2 linked regions of the Daphnia pulex genome follow. The protein of the gene in region 1 purifies or fractionates together with the protein of each later gene. This does not show direct contact. Links are inferred from orthologs where the notes say so. Each region holds a gene or a part of one and is shown on either strand. Other genes may lie near its edges.

Evidence for each region.
Region 2: the proteins of GTP-binding nuclear protein Ran (region 1) and nuclear cap-binding protein subunit 1-like purify together in Homo sapiens (co-immunoprecipitation; 3 studies listed by BioGRID and IntAct, with this or other methods). This does not show direct contact. The link is inferred for Daphnia pulex from reciprocal best matches to the Homo sapiens genes RAN and NCBP1.

The regions. Positions count from the first base shown.
Region 1 is NC_060020.1:1,359,027-1,362,083, reverse strand, and holds GTP-binding nuclear protein Ran, read right to left. Parts: upstream 2,009-3,057; 5' UTR 1,856-2,008; exon of another isoform or gene 1,799-1,855; intron 1,671-1,798; exon of another isoform or gene 1,573-1,670; intron 1,442-1,572; 5' UTR 1,429-1,441; coding exon 1,186-1,428; intron 1,128-1,185; coding exon 939-1,127; intron 880-938; coding exon 664-879; 3' UTR 527-663; downstream 1-526. Other genes in the region: NFATC2-interacting protein-like, read left to right, coding at 1-13, 167-441; uncharacterized protein LOC124192239, read right to left, coding at 2,840-3,057. UniProt on the Homo sapiens protein: GTPase involved in nucleocytoplasmic transport, participating both to the import and the export from the nucleus of proteins and RNAs. Switches between a cytoplasmic GDP- and a nuclear GTP-bound state by nucleotide exchange and GTP hydrolysis.
Region 2 is NC_060022.1:6,378,315-6,382,000, forward strand, and holds the start of nuclear cap-binding protein subunit 1-like, read right to left. Parts: upstream 2,801-3,686; 5' UTR 2,677-2,800; coding exon 2,646-2,676; intron 2,581-2,645; coding exon 2,303-2,580; intron 2,248-2,302; coding exon 2,054-2,247; intron 1,987-2,053; coding exon 1,815-1,986; intron 1,755-1,814; coding exon 1,533-1,754; intron 1,473-1,532; coding exon 1,372-1,472; intron 1,311-1,371; coding exon 1,139-1,310; intron 1,075-1,138; coding exon 907-1,074; intron 847-906; coding exon 594-846; intron 535-593; coding exon 401-534; intron 335-400; coding exon 10-334; intron 1-9. Other genes in the region: uncharacterized protein LOC124196162, read right to left, coding at 3,669-3,686. UniProt on the Homo sapiens protein: Component of the cap-binding complex (CBC), which binds cotranscriptionally to the 5'-cap of pre-mRNAs and is involved in various processes such as pre-mRNA splicing, translation regulation, nonsense-mediated mRNA decay, RNA-mediated gene silencing (RNAi) by microRNAs (miRNAs) and mRNA export.

The DNA of each region.
Region 1 (3,057 bases):
TCAGACATCATTGGTATGTTACTTGTCATTCAAATTACAGTCCATTTCAGCGTCATAAATCGGTTTTAGCAACCCTGGCATGAAGTCAATTGGTTTTCCAATGTAAAAACTTTGGACGATTGGGTTTGGTATTAGCGAACGTTGTAACAGTGCTTTTTTTTAACAGATGCTTCAGTCTGCAAAGAAGGAGTTGTCGTCAGCTCCAACGAAACATTGTTGGAGTTAAAGGTTCAGAGTCAGAACCGGAATGCACAAGTGGTTATATCAATGCGCCCCGAAGACCCTATGGCAGTTTTGATGCAGAAGTATGCGGAAGCAACCGGGATTGATTTGTCCAAATTGAAGTTTAAATTTGACGGCGAAATGTTGGAAGAAGATGACACACCGTCTAGTCTGGAATTTGAAGGTGGCGAGTGTATCGATGTTTTCATTAGAGAGTAGTTTATTTGTTCACTACATTTTTCTTAACTTTACTACTTTGTATATTTTCCCTTGCGCAAATAAATTATGCACTAATAAACAAAAATTCGAAAGACTTTTGTATTATGACGCACAATGTATTTTCATACCTCGCAAATAAAAATTGGTTAAGATAGAAGGCAGAAAACACAGATGGAAAAATTTGTGGGAGGGTGTAGTGGCTTAAATCCTAATATGTTGATGTTACAAGTCTTCATCATCTTCTGGTAGTGCAATGTGTTGAGCTTCCTCCAATTCACCTTCAATTTGCTTCTGCCAATTAGGATCCATCTGCACCTCAGGTGGCTGCAGAGCAGGCATAGCAACAAACTCTAGGTTAGGGTCTCCAATTAGCTTACGTGCTAGCCAGAGGAAAGGCTTTTCAAAGTTGTAGTTTGACTTGGCACTAATGTCATAGTACTAAATGAAACCAAAATTTAGCAAATTGCATTTACAATTTAGTAGCACAATTAACATACCTGGAGATTCTTCTTTCTGTGAAAGACAATGGATTTGGCCTTGACTTTACGATCTTTAATGTCAACTTTGTTGCCACAAAGAACAATTGGGATGTTTTCACAAACTCGGACCAAATCTCTGTGCCAATTTGGAACATTTTTGTAGGTGACACGAGAGGTTACATCAAACATGATGATAGCACATTGGCCCTGCAAGATAAATGAAAGTCAGTCGAGACCATGTGAATACAAGTATGCTGACATTTACCTGAATGTAATATCCATCTCTGAGACCTCCAAACTTCTCCTGACCAGCAGTGTCCCACACGTTGAATCTGATGGCTCCACGGTTTGTATGGAAAACCAAAGGGTGAACTTCCACACCAAGTGTGGCCACATACTTCTTTTCAAATTCACCAGTCAAGTGACGCTTAACGAAAGTGGTTTTTCCGGTACCACCATCGCCAACCAAGACCAGCTTGAAAGTGGGCATGTCAGGTTCGGCAGCCATTCTGTTGTAAATCCTACAAATAATGAGAAAAGATAAGTGAATCGATCAGACTTGATTGCGTCATTCAACAAGAATTTACTGGAACTTAATCTAACGACAACAAAATATATTTTTCTAAAAATTTACACACTCGTGAACACTTACAAGTTAACTGTCAATGTTTAATGTCAAGAGAAAAAAGGGACTATTTCAAACAACTACCACAGAACAGTTTTACCGCCACTGACTAGCTTAGTGCGTTGTCTTTGATGGAGGAAGATGACTGTTAGAGGTTACAACTTGAAAAATGCAGAATAAAATAACTATGATGACTAAAATACTTTCCATGCCGAATTAAAAAGAGATTGGCAAAAGAAACATTACTGCTTACTTAAAACAACGAAAAGATGAAGGATGTGGACAATATTCGAAGATAAATCTAACTCACCGGCGGTTTTAAGCTTTAGGTTCACAATCGCGCGGTTCTAATACCAAACTGGTCTCTAAAAATTCTGGTAGCGTAAAGGCTGGCTGAAAATGGGTGGCTCTAAAAAATTCCTAGCGAGATGTTGCCAAATTTCACTAGGAGAAACGGCGGGAATATTTTCCTTTTCTTTGAAAAAAAGACGGTTGGAATTTGAAAATGGAAAGTAGGCTGTAGCAGGGCTGTAGCTCTCTATTTCTCTAAAGCCTGTCTAAAGCTTTGAATGTAATTTATTAATGTTGAATTTCATTCAGGCCTATTAACGGGATGATGTTTTTTAATTTTTTAATCAACAATATATTTATTTTGTGTGAGATTAAAATGCTAAATGTGTTAATAAAAAGGATAGTAGCACTTAATTCAAATGAAATTACCTTTTAAAAGAAGAAAGAAATTCCTATAAGCATCACTGTATATAAATTAATTAATAGGACATTAAAAGACGTGGTAGCAGCATGATGAATATTTCTGTCAAAGTTATGATTGCTGTTTTTTTTGTTAGTCATTATTTCATTGTATGTTATAAAATCAACCGTTCGAAGAAAAATAACAACGGAGGCGATCATTCATACAAGCATCTGTATTTATTGATACGATGAATTTCTGGGTTACAAAAAATAATGGCGAGTTTTGTTTTACAAACAAAATATCAATGAACTATTACAAAATAATTTTCGGAAGGTTTCATCACAGTGTATAAAATCTTGGGAGATAAAGCTATGACGAACATTTTGATGCGATACCGGTTCGTTTGTAACTCAACGCGAAACTGACTACTTGAACGAGGATCCAAACAAAAAACGCAAGACAAAGGGGAATATGGGGATAGGGGGTTTCAGTAGTCATCACATTCCACATTGGCGAACTAATCATGCACACATAAAAATAAACTAAAATAATCTGAAATAAACATGGAACTCCAAGTTTTATCATATATAGTTATCAAAGTTAGGAGATTTTTTTATTTTTTGCAGCTTCAATGAACTTTGCCATCAGACTCTTGACAGAAAATGGGTCCTCTTTTTTGGCTCTTGTTTCTTTTTTTGTGCTTAACCTTGATGATGGATTTTTTCCAGAGTGCCCAAAGTGATTACTAGTCCTCTTGTTTTTGCAGTTAACATTCTTTGATGCCTTAAGTTTGTTTGATGTGATGGAAGGCGATGGGG
Region 2 (3,686 bases), on another chromosome or scaffold:
TGTTCGCACCTCTAGATGGATCTTCATCAGATGATTCCGAATCAGATGGTGCAGCTCTGAGTTTAGCGCGTGCATCCGCCACCTCTTTCTCTAGACGGACGACGTGTTTGTTCATTTTGCGAATAGTCAAGTGCAAGACCTCCCAAATGTACGAACGAGTGAACTCGGGTGCCATGTCTCGTGAAAAGATCCAATTTGCTACGGCACAACACTCAACAATTTGTGTCTTTAACATCTTATCAACTACCACTCCTAAAAATTGTGGGTGGTGTTGCCAGAGCTCATAAACTTGACGAAGCATACAGATCTGTGCCTCTTCATTCTCACAAATATTCTATGACAGAAACGTAAAATTGAATCGTTTTATACTATCGATAACATTTCAATCTGTTGAAAATACCTTGAAGACTGAATGATATTTAGCGAGACCTGCAAAAGTATGCGTAAAACTCTTCGATCCCAAATGTAGCAGAGTCTGAACAAATACTTCAATTGCTAGAGGATTGTGTGAAGGCTCCATATCCCCGTCGTCATCTAATTACAATTGCATCAAAATGGCTTGAAGTTATACATATTGTATCCACCATATTTACCTTTGAGAGGATTCGGTAGTTGCTGGACCAACTCTAGTACTTCTTCAGGCGTTGGCTTTTTTCTTAGGAGCTCAGTCAAAGTCTGGACTTGAGCAGCCCCAGGAAAACCATTTCCTCCTTCAATTTGGTATTTAAAGTACGGTTCTGGTTTCGGGGGCAACAGCGGTGAGTAACATTCAGGCACCATTTCAGTCACGCGCTTGTGATAGGAGAGTCTCAAACATTTCCCGAACACTTCAGAAACAAATTTTGCCTGAAATTTAAGTGTTCCTTTAGATAGATTTCGAAAAATTTCATTTTTTTAAACATTTACCTTGGGGTGGTCTTTTTCGAGTGAAAGACAATTCTGCCAGTCATCCCAACTCCAGCGGAATTGAAAGTTACTGAGATGGTAAGAAAACCAAGAAACGAATCTATCAAAGCAGGTGGCATTCATGGTATCAATTCTTTCGTAAAGCAACTCCGTAGCCTGTGCTAACACCTGGTTGTGAAATAAAAAGTCAAATGAAAATGTTCAAGTTTCTACTGTAAGATCATATTTTCACCTGAGGCATTGTACTTGGTTGAAGCTTGCAAAGTTCTATCAAAGTACAACCATAAGCAATCTCCAAGTAACGAGGGGAAGGCATTTGGAAAAGTTCTGAGAAGAGAACTTCAACTATCATGTATTCCAAAGGGATCTTATTTCTCTGTGGGAACGCCAACAATTGGGTGGCTCTGAAAAGCAAAATTAATTTACTATTATCTGCACAAACGTTTCTGTCAAGTTGAAACTCACAGTTCCTTGCGTTCGTTATGATGACGAGTGATGATCTGGTGTAAATGTTCCTCAATCAAGTAACGCTCTACTGAATGAGTTCCTGGTAAAAGTGGACCAGCCTGAAAATGAGTCCCGAGTTAAATACGCACGATACACACTTTTGAAAGCGTTTAACTTACTTCTGGACAGTCAGTGTAATCAAACATCCTGAAAACAACCCATGGTAGCGGATATTGCGTACTAGCTGTGTGAGGCGGAGGTAGAATGACCGGGAGATTGTGTTGCAAAGCTTCAGAGAGGATAGAATCAAAAGCTAAATATGGACGGTAAATGTGTCTTTCCTGCCACTCGTCTGTCCGCAATTTCCGTACTTGAGCCCAAAGACATTCCAGGTATTCTTCCTAGAAAGAACGTTTTTCGAAATTTTTCAATTATTATTAAAATGCCATGCCATTTCTGACCTGTGGGTGCGGAGTTTCACAATTCCAAACTCGAAGAGCAGCGACATGAGCAGTATTTCTTCTGCGAAGATAACCTTCCATTGCTGCCATTATACGTTCAAGATCATTTTCTTTCTTTTCAAAAAGCTCTCGACCAACCCAAGGAAGCGCCGTCAACAACGCATACATGTACCTGTAAATTGATACAGTGTTGTGATCTACATTACTCTTGCTTTAGAATAAAACAAAAATTTAATTACCAGTCTCGTCGAACCTGAGGAACTCCTTGTTCCATGGCAGCGTCAATAAAACTGTCATATAACTGTAGCAAGGAAGAGGCAGAGACTATGTGACAGTTGACCATGTCAGATATGAAACGTACAATTAAACGAGCAGATTCCCATTGCCCCTCACGGAGAGCTTCTTTTAGGTTTCTCACTATTTGTTCCACAAACTAAAAAAAGATATACTTGTATCTTAAAAACTGAAAGTACAATTTTAAAACAAACCTCTCCTCCAAAATTATAGTTTTTAGCATTCAGAAGACCAACTAATGTGCTGTAGATAGTACATTTCTCTGGCATTTGGATTGGGCATTCCGACAAAATACGTAATATTTTACTCTTGTACGTGTTCAAATCAGCTTCTAATACTGAAGCAAGCCCTTCTAAATTGCTTTCTAAAGATGATGACGTTTTGTCTCCAACCCTGATAATAAGAGATTCTAACCGGTCTTCAATTTCTGCCTGCTCCGAGACAACTCTGCGCCTTTTACGATACCCATGTTCTGTAATTTTAAACAAATAACTTTTTATAATGTCATCAAATTCTTCAATAAGTTGTAATCCTTACCATATCCATCATCACGTTTCCTACGACTCATTCTTTGATTTTATTTTAAATTGGTCTACGACGCTTACAAGACAGACAAACTACTACCACCCTGTTTGACTGTTTGTCATATGGAGCTATTAAAGAAGCTGTTAATTTGACGCCATCTATTGATGAAATCATAAACTTCGATGATCGTGAAAATAGTTTACATAACTTGACAACGTAGCTGTAAAAATTGTTTATTTTAGGCAACGCAATTTGGCGCAAAAATTCAATTCAGTTTATATTCAGCTGAATTGAATTAAATTCACGCAAAAATGGGATTTGTTGAATTCAATTTAGGTGAAATTGGCTACGAATGTCGGACGATTCGGCAAAAACCATTTCGGCAAATCGCCGAAAACCGTTTCGGCAAAGTTGCCGAATTGTCACCTATGAAATTACCGATTCGGCAAAAGTCGATTCGGCAACTGTGCAAATGTAAATTGGCGGCAAATACTGTGGAACCCAATTAACCCCACAACGTTAGCTAGGGCTGTAAATCGGGTAAAAGCAAAGCGCACTGCTAAAAACCCAATTGATCTTTTTTTTCAAATCAAAATGGACTTAATGCCCACTTCGTTTTTTAAAGGAGAAGTTGTAGTTGGTTCTAAACGTCATTTAATTTTCATGACTGACGAACAACTAGCGCTTTTGAAAACTGCCGTTCGATGGTATGCCGACGGAACCTTTAAAATAATAAACTTCCCTTTCACTCAACTATTTTCCCTCCATGGTTTTCTAAAAAAGAATGGGCAGTTAAAGCAGGTTCCACTTTGTTTTGTGTTTATGTCGGGAAGGGCTCAAAGATCTCTCGGGAAAGACAGTATAATTCGCGTGTTGGTGGTGGCGCTGATTACCCGAAACCCACACAGCTAGCGCCACTGGCCTTACAACGGCATTTTAAACAATTTTGCCGAATTGGCTTTTTACCGAATTGGTATGTACGATTCGGGAAAATAACAAAGTCAACCAATTCGGCAAAAACCAATTCGGCAAACGTCAAATTTGCCGAATCGT